Saccharomyces cerevisiae S288C: one gene and its partners. The gene in region 3 interacts genetically with the main gene of each other region. Each region holds a gene or a part of one and is shown on either strand. Other genes may lie near its edges.

Evidence for each region.
Region 1: of KIN4 (region 3) and SPO12, changing one suppresses a phenotype caused by changing the other (phenotypic suppression), as found in Saccharomyces cerevisiae (4 studies listed by BioGRID, with this or other methods).
Region 2: of KIN4 (region 3) and BFA1, a mutation in one rescues a mutant of the other (synthetic rescue), as found in Saccharomyces cerevisiae (9 studies listed by BioGRID).
Region 4: of KIN4 (region 3) and BUB2, a mutation in one rescues a mutant of the other (synthetic rescue), as found in Saccharomyces cerevisiae (9 studies listed by BioGRID, with this or other methods).

Annotation. Positions count from the first base shown.
Region 1 is NC_001140.6:397,021-404,416, reverse strand, and holds SPO12 (Spo12p), read right to left. Parts: upstream 2,984-7,396; coding exon 2,462-2,983; downstream 1-2,461. Other genes in the region: RTT107 (Rtt107p), read right to left, coding at 1-1,451; SPO16 (Spo16p), read left to right, coding at 1,735-2,331; MTC6 (Mtc6p), read left to right, coding at 3,569-5,149; PEX28 (Pex28p), read right to left, coding at 5,427-7,166. UniProt on the Saccharomyces cerevisiae protein: It is required for meiosis I chromosome division during sporulation. A component of the FEAR (CDC14 early anaphase release) network which promotes CDC14 release from the nucleolus during early anaphase.
Region 2 is NC_001142.9:530,192-538,838, reverse strand, and holds BFA1 (Bfa1p), read right to left. Parts: upstream 4,813-8,647; coding exon 3,088-4,812; downstream 1-3,087. Other genes in the region: HIT1 (Hit1p), read right to left, coding at 1-67; KCH1 (Kch1p), read right to left, coding at 1,290-2,783; UV-damaged DNA-binding protein RAD7, read right to left, coding at 5,080-6,777; OSM1 (fumarate reductase), read right to left, coding at 7,473-8,647. UniProt on the Saccharomyces cerevisiae protein: Part of a checkpoint which monitors spindle integrity and prevents premature exit from mitosis. This cell-cycle arrest depends upon inhibition of the G-protein TEM1 by the BFA1/BUB2 complex.
Region 3 is NC_001147.6:774,337-783,198, forward strand, and holds KIN4 (putative serine/threonine protein kinase KIN4), read left to right. Parts: upstream 1-1,509; coding exon 1,510-3,912; downstream 3,913-8,862. Other genes in the region: mitochondrial nucleotide exchange factor MGE1, read left to right, coding at 237-923; 60S ribosomal protein eL33 RPL33B, read right to left, coding at 4,219-4,523, 5,051-5,069; IRC13 (Irc13p), read left to right, coding at 5,534-5,848; DFR1 (dihydrofolate reductase), read left to right, coding at 6,570-7,205; oxysterol-binding protein related protein HES1, read left to right, coding at 7,658-8,862. UniProt on the Saccharomyces cerevisiae protein: This protein is probably a serine/threonine protein kinase.
Region 4 is NC_001145.3:385,601-390,984, reverse strand, and holds BUB2 (Bub2p), read left to right. Parts: upstream 1-3,963; coding exon 3,964-4,884; downstream 4,885-5,384. Other genes in the region: ferroxidase FET3, read right to left, coding at 253-2,163; ADP/ATP carrier protein AAC1, read left to right, coding at 2,741-3,670; STV1 (H(+)-transporting V0 sector ATPase subunit a), read right to left, coding at 5,010-5,384. UniProt on the Saccharomyces cerevisiae protein: Part of a checkpoint which monitors spindle integrity and prevents premature exit from mitosis. This cell-cycle arrest depends upon inhibition of the GTP-binding protein TEM1 by the BFA1/BUB2 complex.

The DNA of each region.
Region 1 (7,396 bases), on a different chromosome or scaffold from region 3:
ATTCCTATTTGGCCGATATTCCATCCCATGTTATCATCCAATTTAAAATTTTGAAATCTACTGTCTTTGGGGTTTAACTTGGAATTATTCATATAACATTGCTCTAACCACATATGATTTGTCACAATAATGGCATTTTGCGGGTCCAGTGACCATTTTTTTGCGACTTTGAATTTTTTGCCAATTGTACTCTTCGTGATCAAGTGTGTGTTTTTTCTTGTTAGTTCAGGTGTGCTAAGTCCTCCTAATATTTCTACTAACCTCTGAATATAAAACCTTTGGGAGCCGAAATAATTAGTGTACGCGACTGTTAATTCCTTAGAAGTAAATAATTTCGCATGAAATGGTTGGTGAATAAGTTTACATTGCGATACAGGTGTAAATTTTTGCAGCGCAAACATATAAAACAACCAACTTACGTTCCCAACATGAATTTCCGGTTTAATGCTTTTGGTTTTTTCTAGTATCGGTGAGTTAGCAGAGTGGCCGATATAACAGTCAATATCAGGAAAAGCTTGGTAAACAGACTTCAGATCGTCAGAAAAACTCAACGGAGTTACTTTGCCGTCCAAATCCTCGATAAATCCTTTCAAAAACCAATACAAAGGTGTGAAAAAGTTTAAATCTGGTGAGATAGCAAAGTGGTGATTTTTGAATAAAGTTTTGTTTGGATGAAGAGTAAGCTGCGATGATGATGTCTGCTTATCGCCAATAACCTCTTCCCATTTTGCGAATAACTGTTCCTCACTGGTGTCCTGCATATCAAGCTCACACAAAGTAGCAAGCTCGCCCTTCAAGGGCTTCGCCATTTTGAAATGATATAATATCCATATTGGATAGACAAATTTCCACTCTCTCAAAGGCTTTTCGGTGTGCTTGTTGGTCGATGAAGAGGAAAAAGAGCCAAATGTCAATTTACTGACCGTTGCTATGATCGGGTCCTGGGGACTTTGAACAATCACATGCGTCGTTCTATTTGAGATGTAATTGACTAAAGTGCCTCCTAATAAATGAAGCAAATCAGAGTATAATATGTATTCACACTTATTAAACGAGCTTTTGGAAATATATACTTGACAGTCTCGGAGCAAATGAAATGGGTTAGGTGAATACATATTTGTCCTCAAATGTCTCTTCGTCTTGACCGAATCCTGGACCCAAGTGTGTGATACCACCGGGATCAAAAGATCGAAATAAACTATCTTATAAAAAGGAAAGTTGATTGTATTACTAATGACAAAATGTACTGTTTGCGGGCCGAATTTGTTCATGAACCAATCTTTATCCGTCTTGACATCTTTCAAATTTTCGTTATAAAGCTCGTATATTTGACAGTTATTGCATGAATTATCCATCAAAAGCTTTCTAGTAGAGTGAGCGATGGGAAGCTCAGCCTCTGCTGCCACTAAAATTAAAAAATTTAGCTGCTCAAACAGAAGTGATGTGCTCATGGATCGTATATTTACCAGTATGCTACCTCCTTGAAATCTTGCCCAATAACCTAATGACTTCCATTGAATATACAATATAGAACATTGTGATGTATTTATTTATTGGCAAAAAATGTGACGCGAAAAACAACATTAGATGAGTGAAAAAGAAAAGTCACATCTGATATAGCTTACCCTGTTAACGCGTGAAAAGTGGGCGGCTAAAACCGAGAAAATACGAAATAGTGTAAAGGTTCAAGAGAATAAACTTCTGGAACAACATTTCTGGAATGGTTCAATAGAAATGTCTGAATTCTTTTGGGATGTACAAAAAATACAAGAGATTTCTAATGTCGAAGAACATTCTGTGGTTAAGTGTGTTACTGTGAATACGAGCAGGTTAATTTCGCAGCTTAACGAGGAGCTACAAGACGAAGAAAGTGGCGTCAATTTTATTGTTACACAGCTGCAATTACTGATAAATAATGTCTATGAGAAAATACAGAAAAGCCCTGGAGTTCCCGCACATCGTTCTCTGATGATAAATTTGAATTTCACGCGCTTGAAATTCTCAATAGCTTATTGGGATATCTTATTGGAGAGGTCACTAGATCTAATAAATGGACCATCGAAAACGGGTGCCCGCTACTTTATTACAGAGGTTACACCAGTAGACAGAAGTCGATATGTTGAAAACAATCAATATTTTCTAGCTTTTAAAGCTAACCAGCGTTTGACACGGAACAGCGTGGATATGGACGAGTTTATTGATTTTGAAATTCTAATCAAGCAAATAATTTTCGACCTCTTCAAAAAAAACGGAATTCCAGATCAAGATTTTGAAGCCATTTTATCAAGGTTTCATAATTTGGAAAGCTTGGTGGTTGCTTTTAATGAATAATAAAAAAAATGTAAGAAAAAAAAAATCAGGTATTGTTGAATTATTATTTACTTATTCTTTATGTACTCGTTTGCTTATTGGTTTAGTGTAGCATTTGGCTATTTTTGGATGACTAGAAAGGCAGATTTTTTTAGTAGAAATACTCCTCATCTTCATCGATTTCTACATCCTCTGAATCGGCAGCAAGGTTGCCTTTAAAGTTCAGTTTCATAGGATTGACTTTCTTTTTCTTTCCGAACATCTTAACTTTGTGCTCATTCAATTTCAATGAGCATGGTGATACCAGCCTGTCAGTCGGTGATGCAAATCTTTGTTGTAGTTGGAGTTTCCTCTTCGGATCCTGTTTTAAAAGATCCCTTTTGAACATTGTCTTTTTTACCAAATTGCTAGTGGTGTGTGACGACTTCAAGTTTGAAGTGCTTTTTTTCCTAAAAATTCGAAAGGCCGCAATCTCCTCCTCTAAATTAGGTATATTCTCTTTATTGGCGTCCTCTCCTGTCTTCGCCGATTCATTGTAATTATTGATGTTATTGTGGTGATGGTAGTTGTCGTTGTTGCTGCTGCTGCTTCTGGTGATTGTGTTTTCTCTGGTAATATCAGTCTTGAGGATGGAAGCCGTGCGTGCTGATTGGTCACTTGCCTTGTTGGACATAAATACGTTTTCTATTGTTCTTACTGTATATGTTATTTTGTTTTCCTACTAGAAGTATTCCAAGATAGTAACTAATCTGAATGAACGTTTGGCTGACCTCCTAAAAACTAGTTTGAAATGGCGCTTTAGACTTCAAAAGGAGGAATTCTCCTCTTGTGGCAGTATTGTTTCATGCTTTTGCTTACAATTTTCATTAGGAGAAAAAAAGGAAAGATGCCCTGTTTACATATTTCCAAATTAGGAAAAGATATTAACCATGGCGAACTGCATTTCAGACCTGCTTTTTTTTTTCTGTAACCCTTTTAAATTAGGGTTTGCAATTTTGGCATTTTTCTTTTTTCCACAATGGGAAGAGGCAATACAATGGGAATCATTGAAATTTCCATAAATGTTGATGAGTCTTTGGCTGAGCAAGTCACATTGAAGTGTTCGCTGCACGGTGAGATACACCCTGTTTAACTTTATTTGTCACCTTTTTGCTGGTATTTTTTAGTCGCTTTTAACCTCGCTTTTTCAAAGACTATCTCCATTCTATTCTTCCCTTTTTCTTTTGTTCATTTGCATTCGCATCGTTATAGACACGGTATGTGGATACTCATATACCTATTTATCATATGGTCCTCACTGCGAACGTGGGTTACTGCTGTTGACTCTACTACGACAGTTGGCGATGATCTGAATGAGACCGTTTCAGCATCTGTCTGGCCGACGATGTCCCCTCAAATGACGGTGGCCTTTAGGTCCCAAAGAGATGTCATGGGAAACTTAACTATAGACCAGCTGCCGTATGTTGGTTTGAATCTACGACGGGTTCTGTTGAACAATGAGACTAGCATGGTAAATGAAGGTAATAATACAAGATTACTGACTTTGTTCAAATCTATGCTATCCTCCGAAGCAAATGCTTTTGTCCTCGACTTGGAACAATATAATAATGATTTGAGAGTGGTAGATACGACATTGTTATTTAGCGACGTTCTAACTGCTTTACAGTCATTCATCTTCAGCACACAAAACAACCTCTATGCGAATATCATTGTACTGTTGCTGAATATATCAGCTCCTGAACTGGATTCCACAGAATACCGCCACCAAAACCAAACTTTGAACACTACTTATATACTGGACAAAAATTTAGGAAATAGTTTCATTTACAAGCCTACGGATTTACAAAGTGATAGAGCAAAGAATAATACCTGGAACATCTACGGAAAATCGTCCATTGACGGTTGGCCCACTCTGGGCTCTGTGCTATATGAACAAAAGAAGAGACTGGTTATAGGTGAGCTGACCGATTTTTTTAATGAAACTACTGCTCCATATATTTTTCCTCATGACGTCTTTCATTATGAGCAGGGGAACTCTACATTAGATTGCCCCTCTACTGTAGAGGGTCTGACTGATTTATCATCTATCCATTGGAGATTCTTAGATTCGCTGTTCAATTCCGTGGACATCAAAGAGTATATTTCGTGTGGTTTATCACCAATAATAAGCAATTCAGCGTACGTCAATAATGTGACGCAGTTAGCAGATATAATTCATGAAGGCAGCGTTTGGTCATGGGATAGTGACCAACCTTCAGTTACTCAGTCAACTTCTAAATCTGGCAGCTCATCCGGGACCTTAGAGGCTTACAATTGCGTTCTCTTGTACTACTTTGCTAACAATGAGACAGTAACATGGCGAGTAGGTAACTGTTACAATTCTAATATTGGGCTCTGTAGATATGAAAATATGGCATTCCGATGGTTGGTGAGATCAAATAAGGCTACGTACTTTGATTTTGATAGTTACCAGGGATCTAAATGTCCCGATCAGTATTCATTTAATATTCCTAGAAGCCCATTGGAGCAGAGATCGTTTATTGCATATATGAGGAATTCCTCCTTCTCTGACACACAAATATGGATAGATTTGAACTCTATATCAGTAAGCAATTGTTGGGTAAGTGGTGGTCCTTATGCTAGTTGCCCATATGAAAAAGTCATTTCTAGGAGAAATTTCGTAACAATGATGGTCCCTGCGTCAGTCTGTTCCTTTGCCCTACTGTGTATTGTCGTTTACTTGAGTGTATTGAGGGTCCCCATTTATGATAATAGAAAAAATTGGAGAAGAGTTATCAATAAAATCTCTAAATCCGAGCTAGAAGGTGTCCCTTCTTAAAAATCACTTTTTTTCTGACACTTTAGAATTTTCTCAAGTTTTACGACATTAAAACTCAAGTAGTGCTTTTTTTCGTTTCATTTATTATTAATTCATATATAGCATTTCTTAAAACAAAACTGTATTATTTATACTTCAAAAGCGCATTTTTGTATTTTACCTAGTAATATTGATACATAACATTTTTTTTTCTAATATCTTTAGGAAAAAAGTACGTAATACAATGATTTCCCCAAGAAGAGGGGTGGGGTTGTAGGTGAAGGAAAACAATTGTGCATTATGCTACTGGTGTTGCATTCTTAATAACACGATGTATCAGTCTCCTCCTCTTGAACATTGGATCAAATAAGAATTCGCCGGTAATTGGCAGATTCAACCCACGTTCTACCACCCACCTATCCACATCATTGTCAATTTTCCACTCAAAATTAGGATCAAATGACCAGCCTGTGGGGGGAATAACATCAGCCAAAGAATCTACTCCCGGTGGGAATTGCTGTGCTCTTCTATACGGATCTTGAGGATCGAAAATTCTATTTGAATATCGGAAAAACTTCCAGTCGTTCGGCAGTAAGGCCTTTTTATATATTTCAAAAATCTCGATGAATTTAGTTTCCGGTTGTTCATCGAATATCATGTTAAGCGCCTGGTGTTCTCTTTTTTTCAAGTTTTTGTATTCTTTTCCCATTGTTCCTGTTTTGAAAAAACTTATTATTTTTGGATGAGCTCTTGGATGCATATATATCAGTAAGCACCAGGCGAATATGCTACATACATAGCTCCAATTCACAAATGGTGATAATATTTTTAAGAAAACAATCAAAAGAAATCCTGTAAAAAAACGTTTAGTGGAGCACTCTTCGTTTTGAAAACTAGAAGACTTACGAAGAAAACTATTGATTGCCTCAATAACATGAAGGGTACCAGAGGTCATGTTTTGCATATCGCGTAAATTAATTAGTACTTTCATTCCTTGTTTCAATTCCCCTGTGTTTTCGGTTCTTTTATCTAATTCTGATATTTCGTCTATTTCTTGATTTCTTGATTCCAAAGTGTCCATAAAAGATTTGGAGAAAAACTGTTGACCGTAGCTGTACTCATTTTTTCCCTCATAGCACACATCATATAACAATGATGATCCGTGATTCCGTTTCAGAGGATATATACTCCTTTGTAAAGGATGTTTACGCACATAGCCAGGAACTACAATACCATAGACAAAGCGGAATATAGGCAAAATTACCAAGTACATTGGATTAAAACATATCAAAGTGAATAATATTAACGACGTCACCGTCCCGGTAGGGTTTCTCCAAGTCAGCAGTCGAACTATGGAGTCCTGGAGTTCAAATATTGAGCCCATTTTCTTAGACAATTTTTTGAAATTACTACCCAATGTAGTTGCTGAAAACACGGGAACCCTTCCTGTGTCTAGATCATGCTCAATGGTGGTTTTGCTACTAAAATGCTCTCTTTCTGGTAGCTTTTCAGGGACCAACCTCGATATTAGTTTATCCAAAAATACATCGATAAAAGGATCTTTTTCACTATTGGAAGTCATAGGTTCTAGAGCTGGCCCTGATTCGGTTTCATCGTCATAATATTCGGGCGCGCCCTCAAAGTGCGCTGAACACTTGAAAACACCATCGCACTCCCTGCACTCTTGCTCTCCATACGAATCATTTACTGAATATTCCGGAGTACTTGATACTTCTGATGAGTGGGCAGTCTTCAGGCGCTCAATGGACGTACTGAATAATGAACCAGCAATTTGTTGGAGTAGTTCCTTTTTGCTAATGCCTTGGCTTGTTGCGGAGGAGGCGGTTAGCGAAGGATGGCTCATCTCAGAATTTCCGCTGGAGGAGCTTCCTGATAGATCTTCTGCTACAGTTGGCGATTTTGATATTGCTGCTTCTGCCTCCAGTATAGAATCCAACACTTTATTGTATTTGCCTGCGAAGTAAGATTTGACAGCGTCTTTACTCGCGCTCCTGCGACTTGAGCTGGTCTCACTCATTTGCTGAAGATATATTATCTCTTTGTCACCCTAAATACCTGCGTTTTTATCTTATTCATTATGGTTCTATCTACTGATGACTCCAATTCGTAGGCATTCGTCATATTTATGTCTATCATGTCACAATAAAAGGGAAGTTCATCGCGGCGGAAATAATAAAAGCCATTCCACTAACCCTAAATAGCCCTTACTTATTTCCTTTTTCTTGAAATTTTCTCAGCCCATTTTAT
Region 2 (8,647 bases), on a different chromosome or scaffold from region 3:
ATTTAGGACATTTATATTTACCATCAACTCCGCGACATATGCCACATTTAACTGCACTAGATACCATTTTTATTCTTAGAGTTTTTTATATAATATGAACCTTCAACTAGTTATTACCACTGTGGCACTCTTTCTGCGGTAAGATTATCTCATCGCAAGGTAATATCGTCTGAATTTTTTCTATAAAGAAACGAAAAAAAAAAAATAATCAACGTTCCGTACGGGACTCGAACCCGCAGTCTTCTCCTTAGGAGGGAGACGCGTTACCATTACGCCAACGGAACCAACTTGGTTGAACTCTAAGAAATATGAGGTACCTAAGTTGCATAGTAATATTATTACGAAGCACTTCAAATTGAATGAATAAACTTCGTGCAGAAAACTTACACGATGGAAATCAATATTGTAGAGAATGTGGATTTTGATGTAATTGTTGGGATTCCATTTTTAATAAGGCAATAATATTAGGTATGTAGATATACTAGAAGTTCTCCTCGAGGATTTAGGAATCCATAAAAGGGAATCTGCAATTCTACACAATTCTATAAATATTATTATCATCATTTTATATGTTAATATTCATTGATCCTATTACATTATCAATCCTTGCGTTTCAGCTTCCACTAATTTAGATGACTATTTCTCATCATTTGCGTCATCTTCTAACACCGTATATGATAATATACTAGTAACGTAAATACTAGTTAGTAGATGATAGTTGATTTTTATTCCAACAAATATCCGCCTCATTTTCTACTTTCGCTTAAGCTGCTGTAATGAACCCCTAAGGTAGTACTCATTTAGTAGTATTCATGTTACTAGTATATTATCACATACTGTGTATGAAGATGACATAATATTGAGAAACAAATATCAAATCTATTGGAAGCTGAAATGCAAGGATTGATAAAATAATAGGATAATATGACAAAATATCAAAGAAGGAATAAAAAAAAGATGTTATTATGTTGAACTAGTGACACCCTTTTGTGGATTCCTACATACCCAGAGAGAACTCCTAGTATATTCTGTATACCTAATATTAAGTCTTTACCAACAATGGAATCTCAGCAACTATAAAAAATTAACCTATCTCTTACAAGCAAATGTTAAAAGGGGTTTTCAAAGAAACTTTCATGGCTGTTATGTTTGTGCTATAACCGGTATCAATCCAATATATGAAAATAGTGTTACAAAAAAAGTATTATTTTTATCAGAAACATACTAACGGCTGTTTCTAATCACGTCTATCTAATTCATGAAATATGCAAAGGGCTTTTGCCAGCCTATTAAGTATAATTATATGTACGATCTTCATCTTCCAGCAAACCCTTCCTCGGAAGATCAGGCTCCCTGAAGTACGCTTTCATTGGTGTATAAATCCTTCCATTATCATTCGAGTCAGCTTTTGAATTAATCGAACTTTTTGTCTGTAAAGGAGGTGGTCTAGGTCTACTACTGTTGCTATTAAAATTACGGATGTTGTTTGTTGTATTTGGCATAGAATCTAATGGCCCGTGAAACTCCATAGAAGTTGTAGATTTTAATTGTCCAGCAGAGTGTATTTTGTTGAAAATGTCAGAAGAAGACAAATCCTCATATTTTGGAGTATTTACGCTTCTGCTTTGTATTTTTGCTTTCTTTATATCATTACTTTCATAGCTGTTGATATATGGTGAATCTAGAATCGCAGAGAATCTAGTGGTATATTGTGGATTGCCATTGTCAACGAACGATTCCATTGTTTCCGTTTTCTTCATTGTGGGAATGGGCCCACATACATCCTGACTTTTGTATTCGGGTCTTCTCTCTATTAGCTCAATCATAGAATCATTATTAGAAGCATATGACGTATCATTAAAAGATGTTTCAATTTTATTTTCAACTTCTTTAAAATCGTCAAAAGTCTGAGATTCGAGAAGACCTGTCTTATAAATCGTGTCATCATTTTCCTTTTTCCTTTGTCTTTCAACAAGTTCATCAACATTTTCGCTGACGGTAACACAAATGTACTCACGCAACCCGCTATATTCCTGATCATTGATTATTTTATAATAAACAAAAATCGAGCAAATGACAGCAAGCAGAAACTTGAAGACAAATAATGCCCAGATTATAAAGGAAAATAGCATCAGCGACAATATCACTGCTTCTTCATGATTGGTCTGGCCAATGTTCTTTATTTTGTTGATCAAACCGGTAAATGATTCCAGATCGCCTAGATCCTCGTTTTTATTTACTGTTACGAGAACTGACCACAGCGTAAGACCATTAATAACTTGCCTTGGGGTATCCGTGAAGATTAATCTAATACAATCTTTCAGTTGAAAAAAAGTAAAAAATGTCATTTTCTGTCGAAAACCCTTTCGTTCGATCATATTATAAACACAAAACTTGGAATAATTGAGCACTGAATTTAGGTTTCTGGAAAAATTGTTGACATAAGTCAAAGAGATATTTCCCGTTTTGTAAATCCTCATTCCCGCTATAGCCTCCCATATCAATAGCACAATCGATGCTAAAATACAACCGCTAAACAACCATTTGGATATTTTAAAGGGTAAGTATGGTTTGATGATGTTGTTTGACCAGGAGTTGAATGCCAGCAATTTGATACATGTGTAAATGTCAGAAACAAAAAGGGCGAGTTTTAATCCATTCCACCCAACTACACCTATTATGTAATTTAAAACAGTTTTGAACTTGTGGTTTCGAAATAATTCAATGTTTAAATCGGCGAAAGTCTTAGAATTAATGGAGTACTTCCAATCATGGTTAAACATTTTTGATTTTCTGTTCCTGCTAGTCAAATATTCATGAAATTACCAAAGTGTTTGCTAAACAAACCATAAAGATCTGTTTTAATAATCATCAAGGGCTCTTTTGTTTGAAATGTTAATGTGTCCCTCATGGTCTATTTTCATTTGAAACATCTATTCGAATTTTCTGCAACATTTCTTTTTCTGTCAGACGCGAAATGTCGGCGAAAAGTTGACACGATTCAAGGTTCTATCTAATTTTGGAATGTAAGAGAAATGAATGTACTCAAGATAACGGTAAAGAAACAGTTATAAGAAGGCTAAAGGGCTAATCTTTTGTCGAATTGATTACCATGTTCCTGATTTCATACATATAGGATTTTCTCTTGCTATTGACCGTACTTTCATCCATGATTGTTTCCTCATCAACACTGATAATGGTCTCATCTCGGGGTATAAACCATGAGGCTAACTTTTTACACCACCTGTTCTCCTCGTGGTAAAATTTTTCCAATGCTCTTGAACTCAAATGGAAAGTAGAGCTTATTTCTGGAGTTTCTGTTGTACCGTTAAGTGTCCTCATTGAATGGTATTTACGGAGTCTTGCTTGAGCAGCCGTACTTTGATAAACGCCATCATTGTCATTTGAAACAAATGGCGTATTAACTTGGCTTTTGGAACGCAAAAATGGTGAGGAGCTACGTTTTTTCATACTTTTGCCAACTGGTGGTAAGTTTATCTCAGGAATGCCTGCAAAAGGGTCTGCTTCTTCCTCTGAAACACTAACCCATCTTAAATTTTGTTCATCTAAAATCATGTTCCCGATGACCTTTTGATTTCTCGAAGTGGCTCTTGCATGCTGTAGATCAGAATATTTTTGCTTCTTAGAATCTGCATCTCGTTGTAGCTTGTTTTTTATCAATAAAGCTTTCCTGTTTGCCGTGTCTACATCACTAAATTTGCTTAAGACGTTTTCATTTCCTTCCCACTTCATAGTTTTCGGGTTATATATCATAGAACCTTTCTTCATTGGAGTATTATGATCAATTTGCTGTTTTATTGTTTTGATTTTAGCTGGACCATTGAGTTGTACATTTTGATTAGAACAGTGTCTTACTGATCGTTTTTCTTTAAAAGAGTCCAGTTCCTGCTGGGTATTCCAATCTCGTTGTCGCCTATGAAGACCTGGAGTTAATAATTCGTCATGCTTTACTATATCATATTGTGCAGGTGATATTTTTAATGGCAAAGATGAGGATGACTTCTTTAAGAAACGCGGATGGTCGGCACTTTCTTTATCGTTCGAAGAAATCGTTTCATCAATTGCTTCACCCTCTAATTCTTCAAATCCTGTCAGAAAGTCACCTTCATCATCTGAACTGAATTTCGCCAAAATTGTGTCCTGCGTATCGTTATCAATCTTGTAATTAAACTCTCGTTGATCTTCTCTTTCTCGTTCTTCGTCCTCTTCTTCTTCTCTGATAGCTGGATTAACTAAAGCTAAGTTAGGCATAGATTTCTTAAATCTTACAGAATTACCAGACCTTAAGTTTCTTGAAGTGACGCTATTTGATAGTTTTCTTTTTGGTTTCAATTCCATCATTGATCTAGGTTGCTTTAGCCTTGGTTTATCTTCCAAACTCAGTTTTCTATCAAACTCTTCTGCGAAAATGTCGTTTTTGAAAGGGCCAGTTCGACATCCATTTCTCAAATGAAAATTTGTTTTAATAGCATCGTCAAAATCATCCTTTTTATTTTGGAATTCCTGGAAGTCATTTAGAAATTCATCATCCTGGTCTACCTCCATGTCCTGATCATCGTCTGCTTGCTTATTAGACCAAAACGCGCTGGTACTATTGGAAAATACCGTGCCAGTGTCAGAAGTACCTACCGAGGATGGAGGCGGTATATAAGTTGATGTACTCAATGGTGGCACGTTTTCTTCCAAAGTTAATGTTTCATGGGATTGAAAGCGAGGTAGAGTTGTATTCAGTTCTTCAAAAGAGGTTTCTGGCTCATCTAAACCGTTTAACGTGAGAGGCCTAATTGACATAGCATACAAAACTTTCAACTGCTACAAAAGTTTTCGAACTTTTTTCTTTACGTCAAACTTCTCGTTTTTTTCCTTTTATCTGCGCTGAATACATAAGTTTACACTTTTTTTTTTACTATTATTGTTTGTTTATTATTCGCGAGATGCCATAAAATCCCTTCAATAGAAAATAAAGGCAACATTTGACGATCTGAGTATAATAGGAATAAAAACATTAGTCAATTTTCCGTTTTCTATCTAATACACGTTTTATATGTCTTTATTTTATTATATACTGTCACTCTGTCTCCCTATCAACGTAAGTCCAGGCCTCATTGTGGCCTTTTCAGTAACCAAATTGTCTCCGAAAACATCAATTACAGTTAAATTCGGATTTTGCTCACCCAACATTTGAATCACCGAGTCATCAACACAACGTACAAAACCAAGATCAAGATACGTCAGATTAGGACAGGCTAACGCCACAAATGCCTCCTTAGTTAGCTCTTTTAATGAATTGAGATTTAAGCTTCTCAGACTATCTCTTGCTCCGTTAAGCAATAGCTCTATAATTGCCATATCGCCCAATTGTAGACATCTTCTAAAGCTGCATTCAATCAAATTATTCAGTTCTACTTTGCTGAAAAAGTACGACAGTGAATCTGTAGTGATCTGATCTGATTCTTCCAAGCTCAATACCTCCAATGGACATTTCTCAGGAATGAATGCAGTCAGACCATTGATTATCATTGAATCTGTCAAGTCAATACAGCCATTCAAAACCAATTTACGTAACGTGCGCCCGATTTGACCTAGCAGATTTATGATGATCTCATCGTTAACATCCTCTTCATTGAATGGATATTCAATACAGAGACTGTGAAATTCGTCGTTGACTAGGTACTGCGGTAATAAAGCGTAATTTGATATAGAATCTAGTCTGGATAACCCTAAGGATACCAAGGTAGAACCGCAGTTGATCAATAAATTAGATAATGATTTGTCGGTGAAGCGGTGCGTATTAGAAATGTGGAACTCTTCTAATCTACCTTTCATTATTACAAAGAACTTCTCCCATGTGTCCTCGTTGATCAGAAATGGTCCATCTAAATTCAGTGATTTCAAGTTCGGAAGCTTTTCAGCAATGTAAAGCAATGATTCATGGTTCAACTGCCCACACATTTGTAGGGATAATTCGGTTAGGTGTGGCGAAAAAATGGCTAGCGTTTTGTAACCATCAAATGAAATTTTAGAACAATCGCTGAAAGTTAACCTTTTTAGATCTGTCTTCAAGAAAAGTTGCAGAGTATGATCATTCAGGGCCCTATTCTTCGATAGTGCTTTTGCCAAATTATTCAAATTAGCGGTTGATACGCCACCAAGGACATCTCTCAATTTGTTAAATACCAACTTTGATGATTCATCAGCCTCTTTTTGCCACTTGGATATATTTTCACTAATTTTCGTAATACAAAGACTTTGTAAGCTGGATACTTTGTTGACGCGTCTATCCAATAGGTCAGCTGCTCTTTTACGCTTTCTGCGACGATTTTGGATAATTTTTGCAGTATTTTGCCTTTTTTTAGTCAATGATTCCCGGTCATTAGCCGAACTTAAACTGACTGGCGTGTCAGAAATGTGGCTAGTTTCATATTCTTCTTCATCACTATCAGCAGGGACTAATTTCATCCTGGCATCGTAGGAAACCTGAGCTCTTTCTGTCTCGGTACCACTACCTGTTCCAATTTCATCAATTTCTTCATCTTCAACTACTCGAGATATCTCGGCAGTAAAGCTATCATCCTCCGCTTTACCTTTTTTTTCGTCTGTTGCATCTTCTTGCTTCTTCGACTGTCGCTGGTACCATTTTTGTTTGATATTTTCAGCACTGATCCCTTCTTCTCTTAAAAATTGAGTCAAGGCAGAATTTGGTCCCTTAACTTCATTTTCTCCACCTCTTTTTGGTCGGTTTCTACTGCGATACATTTCTTCCCCTCTCGTGATTTCTAGATAATAGCTTATACAAAGACACTTCGGAGTTACTCTAGGACTATTTCAGTTTTTTTTCACTAACTTCGTCCCAATCCTTTATTCCATTTTTGCTTCCATAAATAAGTTTTCTTATTTTCCAGAAAAAAAGAAAAGAAACTGCGCAAGCCCGGAATCGAACCGGGGGCCCAACGATGGCAACGTTGGATTTTACCACTAAACCACTTGCGCTCACTAATTGTTAAACGTGTCAATTATGTGTACAGTTACAAAATAATGAAGCACAAGAGACCCTACTATTACGTTAACATAATTTACTGCGCAAGAAGATAATATGAATCGTGTAGAAAAGTCATTCAGTTTGTTAGAAGAGGGAACATTGACATTGATAATGTAAAAGGATAGGCAATGGTGACACTTCAACGCAAAGAAGAAATTGCAGTATTATCGTGTAGAATCATGCTCTCTCTTGTAGATTCCTATATCGTCGGGGAGAAACCTCTACCATATTCTGTAAACCTAATACTATAGCTTTTCCCAACAAGATATATTCTTCATTTGGAACTCCAAAGAAAAGAAAAAATCGTATATCGTTACGGAAAGAAATAGCAAACAGTATATCCTATCATGTCGCATTAATTATTGAAATGTAAAGTACGTTGCAAAAATATCTTTTATTTCCCTATAAATTCTCAGTACAATTTTGCTATGTTATCCGCAGCTGTCTTTCCAAAGACAACACACTCTAACAAACTAGATCCACCCAATCTGTTGGCTCCATGAACACCACCCGAAACTTCACCAGCAGCAAATATCCCATTAGATAGAACGCTTTCCGAATTTTTCTTAATTACCTGAGATTTCTCATTAATTTTCACACCACCCATTGTGAAATGAACAACTGGTGTAACTTCCCCAACATAAACAGTTGATTCAGTCGAAATATCTTTATCAAAGGCATTGATAATCAATGGCCTATCAAACGTATCCTTAGTATTAACATCGGAATAGCTCTTCAGTTCAGTTACCAGTTCAGAAGCTGTAGTTTGTAGGTCATATTGTCGGATCAGATCGTTGATTGACACTTTTTTGATTAAGTTTTTGGACATATAAAAGTTTATGTTATTCGTATAGTTCTCGTAGACTTTGTCGCTCATTACCAAAAGTGCTCTATTATCATTTTTCGGACATTTAGACTGTATTTCCATGGTTACTGTATCTCTGGTGCTCAATTCATTTGTAAACCTTCTTCCAGTGGTGGGATGCAATAAGATGCCGCCTAAACCCCTCAATGCCTCTGCAGCCAAAAACTTCCAGTTATTTTCACGGTCATTTGGATCAATGAAGCCGGTAGGGTGTACCTGCACTTGATCCATATCAATCAATTCGGCACCCAACTTTGAAAGGATTTTTTGACCATCACCTGTAGTCTGTTTGCCATTAGTAGTTGGCAAGTGAATCAAATTTGGTGAGTACTCTTTCAACATTTCCTTAGAGTAACCAAATCCACCTGAGCAAAACACGACATGGTGTGACTTCATGATTTTACGGTTTCCGTTCTCGTCCATATATACTACACCAGTAACATGACCTTGATTATCAAGCTCGATATCCACTACTTCACTGTTTAGCATAATCTGCACGAGATTGGAATCTTTGGAAGAGATATCCTTTAGTTTTTTTGATAACGCTTGCACGATTTCAAAACCTGGTGGTAATTTGCCAGAAGATCTATGGGTCCTTGGAACAGAGTGACCGCCCAATTGCGCAAGGAGGTCTAATTTCAAATCGAATTCTGTTTGCAACCACCTGATAGCACTCTTGGATTCCTTAGTCAACTTATCCATCAGTGATGGAACCCCTCTGC
Region 3 (8,862 bases):
GTATTTGGCATACGTATTCAGTGATATTTTAATACCTCGCAACGCAATTTCCAGCGAGTTTACGTTTGAAGCAAACGTAACTCCCATGAGTTATACATAACGCCTGCTGCAGCTGAACCAGAACAATATACCGTGGTATTACCGTAAGCATTTGAAAACAATAATAAGTTTCCAAGTGCCGCTTTAGATCCAAAGTACAAGGACATATTGTGGAAGAGTAAGTTGAATATTTGAAAATGAGAGCTTTTTCAGCAGCCACCGTTAGGGCCACAACTAGGAAGTCGTTCATCCCAATGGCACCAAGAACTCCTTTTGTGACTCCATCATTTACAAAGAATGTAGGCTCAATGAGAAGAATGAGATTTTATTCTGATGAAGCCAAAAGTGAAGAATCCAAAGAAAACAATGAAGATTTGACTGAAGAGCAATCAGAAATCAAGAAATTAGAGAGCCAGTTAAGCGCGAAGACTAAAGAAGCTTCTGAACTCAAGGACAGATTATTAAGATCTGTGGCAGATTTCAGAAATTTACAACAAGTCACAAAGAAGGATATTCAGAAAGCTAAGGACTTTGCTTTACAGAAGTTTGCAAAGGATTTATTGGAATCTGTAGATAACTTTGGTCATGCTTTGAATGCTTTTAAAGAGGAAGACTTACAAAAGTCCAAGGAAATTAGTGATTTGTATACAGGGGTTAGAATGACAAGAGATGTTTTTGAAAACACCCTAAGAAAGCACGGTATTGAAAAATTAGACCCATTGGGAGAACCATTTGATCCAAATAAACACGAAGCAACGTTCGAGTTGCCACAACCTGATAAGGAACCGGGTACTGTTTTCCATGTACAACAATTAGGTTTCACCTTGAATGACAGAGTTATCAGACCAGCAAAAGTCGGAATTGTTAAGGGCGAAGAGAACTAACCTTGATGAAGAATTATTACTACCTACGACTTTATCTATATGTGCCTTTTTTCTTTCTCTGCCTGGTTTAGTTTTATTTACTACGTTTACTTGTATATATTTGTAAACTAATGAAAATATAAAGAAATAAATCTCAAAACATGCTTTTATACTGTAAAAACTGGTGTTATATGGGTTAATGAAAGGCATATAATATACAAGGGTGACAAATTTTTAGTACTTTCGTATACATTTTAAAGAAGACACTTTTGTTTCTTGAGGACTGGTCAATTCCATTTTTATTTTTTTGTAAACAATGACGGCGAGTTTCATTAGGAACGTGAGCAGAAAAATATTATCTGTTGTAAACAATCGCATCGGTGGGAGAGCATAAACTTCTACTGAAGATATACGGTTTGAAAAGACAATAACGCATTAGTTGTTTTTTTAGTACATATTTTTTTAGCAAGTTCACTGTTTATTGAGCTTACTGTGATTTTCAAGTAAAACACCTTTTATTTTCTCGAGGAAATCCAGCCACCTTTTCACAGGTAAAGTCATCGCATAATATTCTATCAGGACATTCCGTATACCTGAATATATATACATGGCTTCTGTACCTAAACGCCATACATACGGTGGCAACGTTGTCACTGATAGGGACCGTCATTCTCTTCAAAGAAACAATGAGATTTTGCATCCTATACATAAAAATCAGCGAAAACATGCTACCTTCGGACCATACATAATCGGTTCCACTTTGGGTGAGGGAGAATTTGGTAAAGTTAAGCTGGGTTGGACCAAGGCTTCCTCCTCGAACGAGGTTCCTAAGCAAGTGGCAATCAAATTAATTAGAAGAGATACAATCAAGAAAGATGCCGATAAAGAAATTAAAATATACCGCGAAATTAACGCACTGAAGCATTTAACTCATCCTAACATTATCTATTTAGAAGAGGTCCTGCAGAATTCGAAATACATTGGAATAGTGCTAGAGTTTGTATCTGGGGGAGAATTCTATAAGTATATTCAACGTAAGAGGAGATTAAAGGAATCTTCTGCATGCAGATTGTTTGCCCAATTAATTAGTGGGGTCAATTATATGCACTACAAAGGACTTGTTCATAGGGACTTAAAACTGGAAAATTTATTATTAGATAAGCACGAAAATTTAGTCATCACGGATTTTGGTTTTGTGAATGAATTTTTTGAAGATAACGAATTAATGAAAACTTCTTGTGGTTCGCCCTGTTATGCAGCACCAGAACTAGTTGTTAGTACCAAGGCATATGAAGCAAGAAAGGCAGATGTTTGGTCGTGTGGTGTTATTCTTTATGCAATGCTCGCTGGATATTTGCCGTGGGATGACGATCATGAAAATCCAACGGGTGACGATATTGCTAGACTGTACAAATACATCACGCAAACACCTCTTAAATTTCCCGAATATATAACCCCTATTCCAAGAGATTTGCTGAGGCGAATACTGGTACCCAATCCAAGAAGAAGAATAAACTTACAAACAATAAAAAGGCATGTGTGGTTGAAGCCTCATGAAGCGTTTTTGAGCATTCAGCCGAACTATTGGGATGAACACTTACAGAAGGAACGTCCGAAACCGCCAAACAAAGGTGACGTTGGTCGCCACTCAACTTATTCTTCATCAGCATCTTCGTACTCAAAAAGTAGGGATAGAAACTCTTTAATTATAGAGTCGACTCTAGAGCAACATCGAATGTCTCCACAGCTTGCGACCAGCAGACCAGCATCACCAACATTCTCTACTGGTTCCAAAGTGGTGTTAAACGATACGAAAAATGACATGAAAGAATCTAATATAAATGGCGAGCGTACTAGTGCATCATGCAGGTACACACGTGATTCGAAGGGCAACGGCCAGACCCAAATAGAACAAGTATCAGCTAGACACTCATCCAGAGGCAATAAGCACACATCGGTCGCGGGACTCGTAACAATCCCTGGCTCCCCCACAACTGCAAGAACAAGGAATGCACCATCATCAAAGCTTACTGAGCATGTAAAAGATTCTAGTCAGACAAGCTTTACTCAGGAGGAATTCCACCGTATTGGTAATTATCACGTGCCTCGCAGTAGACCTAGGCCAACTTCATATTATCCTGGACTCAGTCGTAACACCGCGGATAATAGTTTAGCGGATATTCCAGTAAATAAGTTGGGTTCGAATGGTAGGTTGACAGATGCCAAAGACCCGGTACCGTTGAACGCAATACACGATACCAACAAAGCTACAATCTCCAACAATTCCATTATGCTATTATCAGAAGGTCCGGCTGCAAAGACTTCCCCAGTAGATTACCATTATGCTATTGGCGACTTAAACCATGGTGACAAACCCATAACTGAGGTTATCGACAAAATTAATAAGGACCTTACTCATAAAGCAGCTGAAAATGGTTTTCCTCGAGAGAGCATCGACCCAGAGAGTACCTCAACGATATTAGTTACGAAAGAACCCACTAACTCCACCGATGAAGATCATGTAGAATCTCAGCTGGAGAATGTTGGCCACTCTTCTAATAAATCAGACGCTTCTTCTGATAAAGATAGTAAAAAGATCTACGAAAAAAAAAGGTTCAGCTTCATGTCGTTGTACTCATCCTTAAATGGTTCAAGATCCACTGTTGAATCTCGTACCTCAAAAGGGAATGCACCTCCTGTTTCATCTAGAAATCCATCAGGACAATCGAATAGAAGTAACATTAAAATAACTCAGCAGCAACCACGTAACCTTTCCGACAGAGTTCCAAATCCCGATAAGAAAATTAATGATAATAGAATAAGAGACAACGCACCTAGCTATGCTGAAAGCGAGAATCCGGGAAGGTCTGTACGGGCTTCTGTTATGGTGTCAACACTACGAGAAGAAAATCGATCGGAATTGTCGAATGAAGGGAATAATGTCGAGGCACAGACTTCAACAGCAAGAAAGGTTCTGAATTTTTTCAAAAGAAGGAGCATGAGGGTTTGAGTTTTCAGTACATAGTTATATCGACAATTACATTATATTATAGAGTGATAATATTATTTTCTTTTTGAATTTTAACAGTCTTTTTGATAGGACACCAAATATTGCTTAACGCACTGCATGTTCCTGGTAGAGAAAGAAGAAGAAAAGTCTTACTGTCACTACCTGCAGAAAAGATTGTATGAAACGAAATGGAGTAAGAACTCAAAATATAAACAAAAGAATAAGGATATATATATGAATGCTTATTTTTTATATTTTATACAATATTAATAACAATAATTATAATTTTGTTTTGGTTTAACTTAATTAAATGTTAGATGGGTACAAGAAAATTCTGACAGAGGCACCGAAAGTCTTGGCTGGCAAGTTGTTTCTAAAGGTAGCTCTAACGACACCAGAGTTACCGTGAGTTCTGGTGACTTTGCCCCACATAACTCTAATCTTGGAACCTCTGACTTCCTTGGAAGCTCTGTAAACGTAGGCGATACGCTTACCCAAATAGAATTGAGCTTCTTGTGGAGTGGCAACACCTTCAATCTTAATCAAAGAGACATTTGGGTTGTTAACTCTCTTAGATCTTTGGTAGGATAAGTGCTTACCTTTAACGTATACTATCAAAATAAAAGTAGAATAGAATTTGTCAATTCATAAATAAAGCTGTTAGTAAGGTTGTACTTTCATGAGCACGTTGCAGAGTGAAATAATTCGACATTTCATTGAGCCCATGATGGAAAGGGACGCAGTTATGTCAGAAGCGACCTCAAATGACATATATATACGCTATCTTAACATTTCTGGCACGCGCAGTTTCATGTAAAAATGCATTTCCTGGTGCCTCCTACTACTTGGTGGAATTTCATATCAGGTAGGTTATCTCCTTCTTCTTTCCCTAGAAGGTAAACTGATCATTTATAATACCTTTCTCTTTTGAATTTTTTTCCTATGAAACTTGTTCATTCTGTTCTTCTCATCGCAAAACCATGCACTATTTAATATATTCATACTCTTTAATAACAGTTGTCCAACAAGTGCGGGCCCCAACTATAACACATGTTTTATCGAATATCAATAATGTCTTCTAAGCTCGAATCAGCCTATTCCACGGCAACATTCATCATATAGTAATTTCATAACATACGTCTATGGGATTCAGCCATTTTATCTATGATTTATCTGGTTCTACTTTTGCAAAGGTTGTTTAAGCAAAGAAACTGTTTTCGGACCTTTATCTGCTATAATAATCGTTTTTTCAAAATCTGGTGCTAAGCGTAACTGGTGCAAGCCATAGGTAGCCTCACTACGGTACAGAGGTTACTTTGAAAGCAAGAACCCTTCACATGTCACACCTGCACGCAGAGGCATGGAGAGGCCAGCACAAACCACCATGGATGGGTAAAGTCATAGAAGGAAAAGCACATGGTACCCAGGCAGAGTTCCCCCCAGCAGTGACGCTCTGTTGCACTGGCCGGAAGAAGATGGTGTAAAGAGAAGCGGTCTCCAGGCAGAACAAATTCTGATTGCCCGTCTACCGGTAAAGCTTTCTCACAATATACCGTACGTTTCAAAAAAAATATTGATTCTTTTTTTATAAAAATATCAGTAGTATGTATGGGCTGATTGTATGGGTTTATACAGGCCGTCAAAATTTTTTCACCCCCCCATACCCCACATACCTTTTACTATTAACCCTGATTTTTTTTCTTTTCACATACAGCGCCTTAAGGCGAAGGCAAATCCTGAAAATTTTCTCATTTGCTTTCCCCCACCAGACATATATAAAGGCTTTGTATTCTGCTGTCAATTAGATTTAGTACATCTTTTCTCTTATGTTTTCTTCTTGTTTCTACTTAAAATCTGTGTCGACGTACTTCAGTATGTAATATACCCCAAACATTTTACCCACAAAAAACCAGGATTTGAAAACTATAGCATCTAAAAGTCTTAGGTACTAGAGTTTTCATTTCGGAGCAGGCTTTTTGAAAAATTTAATTCAACCATTGCAGCAGCTTTTGACTAACACATTCTACAGTAGGATCATTTCTATAGGAATCGTCACTCTTTGACTCTTCAAAAGAGCCACTGAATCCAACTTGGTTGATGAGTCCCATAACCTTTGTACCCCAGAGTGAGAAACCGAAATTGAATCTAAATTAGCTTGGTCCGCAATCCTTAGCGGTTCGGCCATCTATAATTTTGAATAAAAATTTTGCTTTGCCGTTGCATTTGTAGTTTTTTCCTTTGGAAGTAATTACAATATTTTATGGCGCGATGATCTTGACCCATCCTATGTACTTCTTTTTTGAAGGGATAGGGCTCTATGGGTGGGTACAAATGGCAGTCTGACAAGTTAACCACTTTTTTCCTTTTCTAAATTGTTTAAAACCAAAGGTTTGGTTTTCAGTTAAGAAATTGGATTAGTTGGTGTGTAAGTATAATTAAATGTAGTCTTGGTTAGCTTAATGTATAGGTTCTTGATAGTATGACTCCACCTAAAATTCGTCAAGAGCGACGGATGCGAAAACAAAAAAATCGCTTTGCATCCTTACGTGCGTGAGATGGCATCGCTGGCCAAAGGGAAACGTTTCATTATTTTCTGTAGTTAACATTATGCTTTGCATGATAATAAGAGAAATTGAAGAGCGCAACGAACTACGAGCATGGCTGGAGGAAAGATTCCTATTGTAGGAATTGTGGCATGTTTACAGCCGGAGATGGGGATAGGATTTCGTGGAGGTCTACCATGGAGGTTGCCCAGTGAAATGAAGTATTTCAGACAGGTCACTTCATTGACGAAAGATCCAAACAAAAAAAATGCTTTGATAATGGGAAGGAAGACATGGGAATCCATACCGCCCAAGTTTCGCCCACTGCCCAATAGAATGAATGTCATTATATCGAGAAGCTTCAAGGACGATTTTGTCCACGATAAAGAGAGATCAATAGTCCAAAGTAATTCATTGGCAAACGCAATAATGAACCTAGAAAGCAATTTTAAGGAGCATCTGGAAAGAATCTACGTGATTGGGGGTGGCGAAGTTTATAGTCAAATCTTCTCCATTACAGATCATTGGCTCATCACGAAAATAAATCCATTAGATAAAAACGCAACTCCTGCAATGGACACTTTCCTTGATGCGAAGAAATTGGAAGAAGTATTTAGCGAGCAAGATCCGGCCCAGCTGAAAGAATTTCTTCCCCCTAAAGTAGAGTTGCCCGAAACAGACTGTGATCAACGCTACTCGCTGGAAGAAAAAGGTTATTGCTTCGAATTCACTCTATACAATCGTAAATGAAACCTCTCCGCCCGTATATTTTTTTTAATATGTTAAATAGTGATAGAACTGATAAGCCTCATTTTCTTTTATTGGGCTCCAAGACGCGAACTGTTCGTAGGGTAACCGTTTGACACCTAAACGACCTTTCAGCCTCACCTGCAGTATTTCTTCAACAACGCCTGTCGCTATGTTAAATAATAGCAATCGTTTGTGATCACCATTGTCGAATTTGACGCGCTTAAACAAAAACCATTGTTTTGGCCTCGTTCCCTGCATTCAACAAAAGAGCAAGGTATGCCGTCAAACAGTCGTTAAAAGAGAAGGTTTATAAACTATCTTGTTTTGTACTTTGCTGTCCCGGATCCAGTTGGGTCTTCTTTTCAACCTGTCTGAGTCCGATCTTTCTTTCCCTACTTGAAGCTCCATATATCTAAGTCATCTAAGTGTATCCTGCTAGATTACAAACGAAAATGTCTCAACACGCAAGCTCATCTTCTTGGACTTCTTTTTTGAAATCGATAAGTTCGTTCAACGGAGATCTATCGTCTTTGTCTGCACCACCGTTTATTCTTTCTCCCACTTCCTTAACAGAGTTTTCTCAGTATTGGGCTGAACATCCAGCTTTATTTCTGGAGCCTTCGTTGATTGATGGTGAAAACTACAAAGATCACTGTCCCTTTGACCCAAATGTGGAATCAAAGGAAGTGGCGCAGATGTTGGCGGTTGTTAGGTGGTTTATTTCTACTTTGAGATCTCAATACTGCTCTAGAAGCGAATCGATGGGTTCTGAAAAGAAGCCTTTGAACCCATTCTTGGGTGAGGTATTTGTTGGAAAGTGGAAAAATGATGAGCATCCAGAGTTTGGTGAAACGGTTCTTTTAAGTGAGCAAGTTTCACATCATCCACCTATGACAGCATTTTCGATTTTTAATGAAAAAAATGATGTTTCTGTTCAAGGATACAATCAAATTAAAACTGGTTTTACCAAAACATTGACGCTAACGGTCAAACCATACGGGCATGTCATTTTGAAGATTAAAGATGAGACCTACCTGATTACAACCCCGCCTTTGCATATCGAAGGTATTTTAGTCGCTTCTCCATTTGTTGAATTAGGAGGCAGGTCATTCATACAGTCATCAAATGGTATGTTATGTGTTATAGAATTTTCAGGAAGGGGGTATTTCACAGGGAAGAAGAACTCCTTTAAGGCAAGAATTTACAGAAGCCCACAAGAGCATAGTCATAAAGAAAATGCGCTATACCTAATCTCTGGCCAATGGTCAGGTGTTTCAACAATTATAAAAAAAGACTCGCAAGTTTCACATCAGTTTTACGATTCATCGGAAACTCCTACTGAACATTTATTAGTTAAGCCAATCGAAGAACAACATCCTCTGGAAAGTAGGAGGGCATGGAAGGATGTGGCAGAAGCAATCAGACAAGGAAATATTAGTATGATAAAAAAGACTAAGGAAGAACTAGAAAATAAGCAAAGAGCCTTGAGAGAACAAGAACGCGTAAAAGGTGTGGAATGGCAAAGAAGATGGTTCAAACAAGTGGACTACATGAATGAAAATACATCAAATGATGTAGAGAAAGCAAGTGAAGATGATGCCTTTAGGAAATTGGCGTCCAAACTGCAGCTTTCTGTGAAAAATGTGCCAAGTGGGAC
Region 4 (5,384 bases), on a different chromosome or scaffold from region 3:
GTTCAAAAGAAACTGATCATGTCATCGATTAAAAGTAAAAGTATGCACATCAGCCTCGTGACAGATGAGGATCTCATGTCAAAAACCGCCAAGAAGCATGCATTATTGAATTTGAAACGTGGTAGATTATTAAGTATATGTCTATGTAATATTAAGTAAGACAAGGGCATTCACTTTACATGCAAATGCATTTGGAACCCTTGACCGAAAAAAAAAAAACAGGTTAACCGCAAAATACATGATCTTCCTTTATTAGAAGAACCGTTTGGCTTTAGTTAAAAATTGATGCTTTTCAGTGGAATGACGATCTTCGTTTACCTGACGCTCTTCATTTTCATCAACCTCATTTAGCAAGACTTCAGGGTCCACGTGCAAGTCTCGAATAACCTTTTCGGTCGCATCTTCCATATCCATCATACCATAAATTGCAATTGTGATAATACCAAGAATACCGGCAAAGCAGGAGAATGTCATGGCAATAATACCTTTTTTGGTAAAACCGGTAGGAATGAAGGCATGCTGAACATTTTCACCAGTTAAATCAGTTAAATCCAGTGTATTGGCAGCGGCGTTACCTTCAGTGGCCACAGAGCAACTCTGGCAAACTTCTAAGTGGTTTTCACTGAGTTGTTGAGAATGAGCATCTTGGATACCAAAAGGATCCTCCACGAGAACAAGACCCAAACCTTGCAACAAATGCCATTCGATATGACAATGGAAGAACCAAACACCTGGGTTATCGGCTTTAAACCTGATGACGAAATTGGATTGTGGTCTAACGTATAAAGTATCTCTTCTCATTGGGTATTCTGGGAAGGCAGGGTGGTTGTCCGGATCGAAACTGTGAGGAACTTCACCTAGGGCATCATCATATGTACGATCTCTCTGGATGGTTTGGAAAGCGTGACCATGTAAATGGAAAGGATGGGTACCTGTGTCCTGGTTATTTAGCACAATCTCCACGATTTCATCCTTCTCTAGGATGAAAGTGTGCGTGTTTGAACCGTAGATTTCGGAGTTGTTTGCTTGATCACCTGAAGACAAAACGGTCATCAAAGTAGGAACTTTTGGTGCAGTATAGGTGATATTATTGAAGAAGGCGTAATTCACACCGTTTTTCAAGTTATCCATAACAACGTCAACGGTAATCACATGATCTGGCTCGCCATAGATGGCTTCTTTCTCGTACGGTTGCAAGTAGAAATCGTCCAAGAAGTTATCAATTGAATCCACGTAATTTTGTGTGGGCAGCGCAGCGGTTTTGTTGTAGACCATATAAGAGGTTGCATTCAGCTGTAAATCACTTGGAATGACATCCAACATGGTGTCATCAAATTTCTGCATGATGGCGAAATTTTTGTCCGTGTCGTTTTTAGTGTGAACCAGGACTGTATATCTCTGAGCGACAGTGATGTAAAGCATATCCGTTACGTTCTTCTCGGTAGTGATACCGTCGATTTCGACCACGGTCATTTCGTGGTCCTCGATCCAAAAGTACTGCGAAACGAACCCACCCACGTTGACAATTCTCAAAAGATACGTCGTATCGGGCTGGACTTCCCATGTCAGATTCATCGTGTTGTTAACAATCAAGTTCTGTGGGATGGGCTCAGCACCTGTCGGATTATAAACACTCATGAACGACTTCGTCAAGTCCGTGACCAAGTCGTGGTACCACTCACTAAGCGATAAAGAAAGTTCCTCATCGTAATCGTAGGGGAAGCTATCATCCTTGATGATGAAAAGACCTTTCATCCCGTCTTCATATTGACCGTCCGTGTGTGAATGGTACCAGTAGGTGCCTACATTGTAGTCCACCGTGAAATTGTAAAGCATAGTACTGCCTGGCGCAATTGGACATTGCGTCAAGAAGGGCACACCGTCCATAGAGGCGGTTCCGTTTTGGAAGAGACCGTGGAAATGCATAGAAGTATTGGTGTTGTTCATTCCGTTGGTCAAGTAAATCTGCACACGGTCACCTTTGTTGACCGTTATATCTGGCCATGGGAACTGGCCATTACAGGTGATCACGGGACGGCTCTTTAGCCCATCAACGTTCCTGTAGTCCCAGCCAGTGGTCCAATTAAACGTGTGCGTCTCCGCTTGTGCTAGCGAGAGCATCGAGAAAAGCAAAACGGCTATAGAGAGCAAAGCGTTAGTCATCTAGTTCTAATTTTTTGCTACTCTTCCTTACACTGGGGTCCTCTTCGTTTCCTATGCCTATCCATCGCTTATAGAACAAGAGCTATAGGGCATGGCCTGCTTACATACATATATATATATATATATATATATATATAATCGCACTACATGCACGAGGCCTTGGCATACTCCCTCGAAGGATCGACTGTTTGAGTGCATCCTTCATTTTCTGTCGCAATTGGCGAGAATAAGAGCACCTGCAAATGGGTGCACTTTTGAAGATGGGCCTTGCCTGTTGGGCCTGCCTAAGTCAGCCTCGCCTAGCTCTAGGCGGAGGGTCTTTATCGGCGACTCAGCGTACTGTAGGGACCACCCCAGGCGCAACGGGCTGATTCGCACCCGGAAAGTAAAGCTTATTTCTGTCGGACGGAGAGTGTCCTTTTTCTCTCGCAGAAGACCATTTATTGGTCCTGAAACGGTATGAACATGTTATTATTCCTGTAACCGTGAAATAGGCAAGCCAAGGCATTATCGCAAAGAAGGCAGCACAGATTCTCGTATCTGTTATTCTTTTCTATTTTTCCTTTTTACAGCAGTAATGTCTCACACAGAAACACAGACTCAGCAGTCACACTTCGGTGTGGACTTCCTTATGGGCGGCGTTTCTGCTGCCATTGCGAAGACGGGTGCCGCTCCCATTGAACGGGTGAAACTGTTGATGCAGAATCAAGAAGAGATGCTTAAACAGGGCTCGTTGGATACACGGTACAAGGGAATTTTAGATTGCTTCAAGAGGACTGCGACTCATGAAGGTATTGTGTCGTTCTGGAGGGGTAACACCGCCAATGTTCTCCGGTATTTCCCCACGCAGGCGCTGAATTTTGCCTTCAAAGACAAAATTAAGTCGTTGTTGAGTTACGACAGAGAGCGCGATGGGTATGCCAAGTGGTTTGCTGGAAATCTTTTCTCTGGTGGAGCGGCTGGTGGTTTGTCGCTTCTATTTGTATATTCCTTGGACTACGCAAGGACGCGGCTTGCAGCGGATGCTAGGGGTTCTAAGTCAACCTCGCAAAGACAGTTTAATGGATTGCTAGACGTGTATAAGAAGACACTGAAAACGGACGGGTTGTTGGGTCTGTACCGTGGGTTTGTGCCCTCAGTTCTGGGTATCATTGTCTACAGAGGTCTGTACTTTGGCTTGTACGATTCTTTCAAGCCTGTGCTGTTGACGGGGGCTCTAGAGGGGTCCTTTGTTGCCTCTTTCCTATTAGGTTGGGTCATTACCATGGGTGCTTCCACTGCGTCGTATCCCTTGGATACGGTAAGAAGAAGGATGATGATGACTTCGGGCCAGACCATCAAGTACGACGGTGCTCTGGACTGTTTGAGAAAGATTGTTCAGAAAGAGGGCGCGTATTCCTTGTTCAAGGGCTGTGGTGCCAACATATTTAGAGGAGTCGCTGCAGCTGGTGTCATCTCATTGTACGATCAGTTGCAACTCATAATGTTTGGCAAAAAATTCAAGTGAAAAAAAAAGAAAACAACAAACGAATAAAATCTAAAAATTCTACATATTCTTGCTATTTATTTACATATTCATTCTTGCTACATACCTGTCTTATGCTATAATGACACTGGAGGTCTTCTTTCTTCTTTGAATTTATGTCCTGACAATTCAGTAAACGCCGTGCGGAAGGGAACCGTTTACGTACGCCAAGCTAAACATTGAAAAAAAAAAAAAAAAAAATGATAATAATAGTAATAATAGTAACGACGTAAAGGTAAAAGAAACAACAGACTTTTAAACTTGTTAACTTTTGCATGACCTCAATTGAAGATCTGATATCAAATCCTCCCCTGCTACTGCATTCCTCACTCTCTCAACTTCGCTACCTCATACTCAGTGAAGGGCTTCCCATATCTGAAGATAAACAGCAGCAGCGCACGCGATGTTACGTGTGGACGGTGCTCTCTCAAACTTCTATGGAGGCGTCTACACAACGGTACCTTGCGCTCTTGAAACTGGGCCCACCTTCCACAACCATTTACCAAAAAATCAAGAACGACACATCCAGAACTTTTCAGACGGATCCAAACTTTAGAAATAGAGTCTCAGAGGATGCCCTCATCCGGTGTCTGTCGTGCTTTGCTTGGCAAACACAACAAAGAAGACAAAAGACTCGTTTTGGTCGCATTCCTGTGAGCACATATGTGCAGGGCATGAACGTGTTATTAGCTCCTCTGCTTTACTCATGTCCTTCTGAACCTATGGCGTATCAACTTTTCACTAAGCTTTGTTATGAAATGATACCGACGTATCTAACTAAGAACCTAAACGGCGCCCAGAACGGCGCCAAACTACTAGATATTTCTCTCAGAATCATTGATCCAAAGCTGAGTAAATTTCTATCGGACAATTTACTTACAGCAGAGATTTATGGTATGCCTTCCATACTCACGTTATCCAGCTGCAATAAACCGCTTGATCAGGTCATTAAACTGTGGGATTTCATGTTTGCATATGGATTCCATATGAATATTCTCTTTGTGGTGGCATTCCTAGTTAAAATGAGATCCAAGGTTTTCAAATCGGATTCCCCTGTTAATTTACTACGACAGTTTCCGGATTTTGATGCTGACGAGATCATTCGGCTGGGCGTCGGGTTCATCGCTAAGATCCCTGCTCAAATTTATGACCTATTGGTAGACCACTTGACCGACCCAGACATATATATACCGTAAACTATGTGAAGAAATATTATATTTTATCGTTTAATTCTACAACGTTTATATGTCTGTATGTGTAAAAAAAAATAAAACGAAAAAAGCAGTGGGTAGATGAGAAAATTTACAGTAATTTAAGGTTATTATTCTATTATTGCACGAAATGAAAATGGCTCGTACGCATATCCTTCACCTTCAAAAAATTTGGACATTGCCTCCACCCAATGCAAACGTAGCGCATGCAACATTGCGGAAGTACCTTCCATGAAAACTAGGATACAAACGGTTAAAACAAACCACATAGCAAATAAGAAAACCACCTTCATGACAGCCAAAGGCGACCCTGAGTTTTTAGAACTGAAAGCGTTTGAAATTGTCATATCCCATAAAACACTAGATAATTGCGCATGCGCCAACGATAGTGCCCAAAGACGTAGATATGATGCTGTATGAGAGATACAATTTAAACAGAATTCAATAGTATGGATTACCTGATGAATCATGACATCGCCGAAATT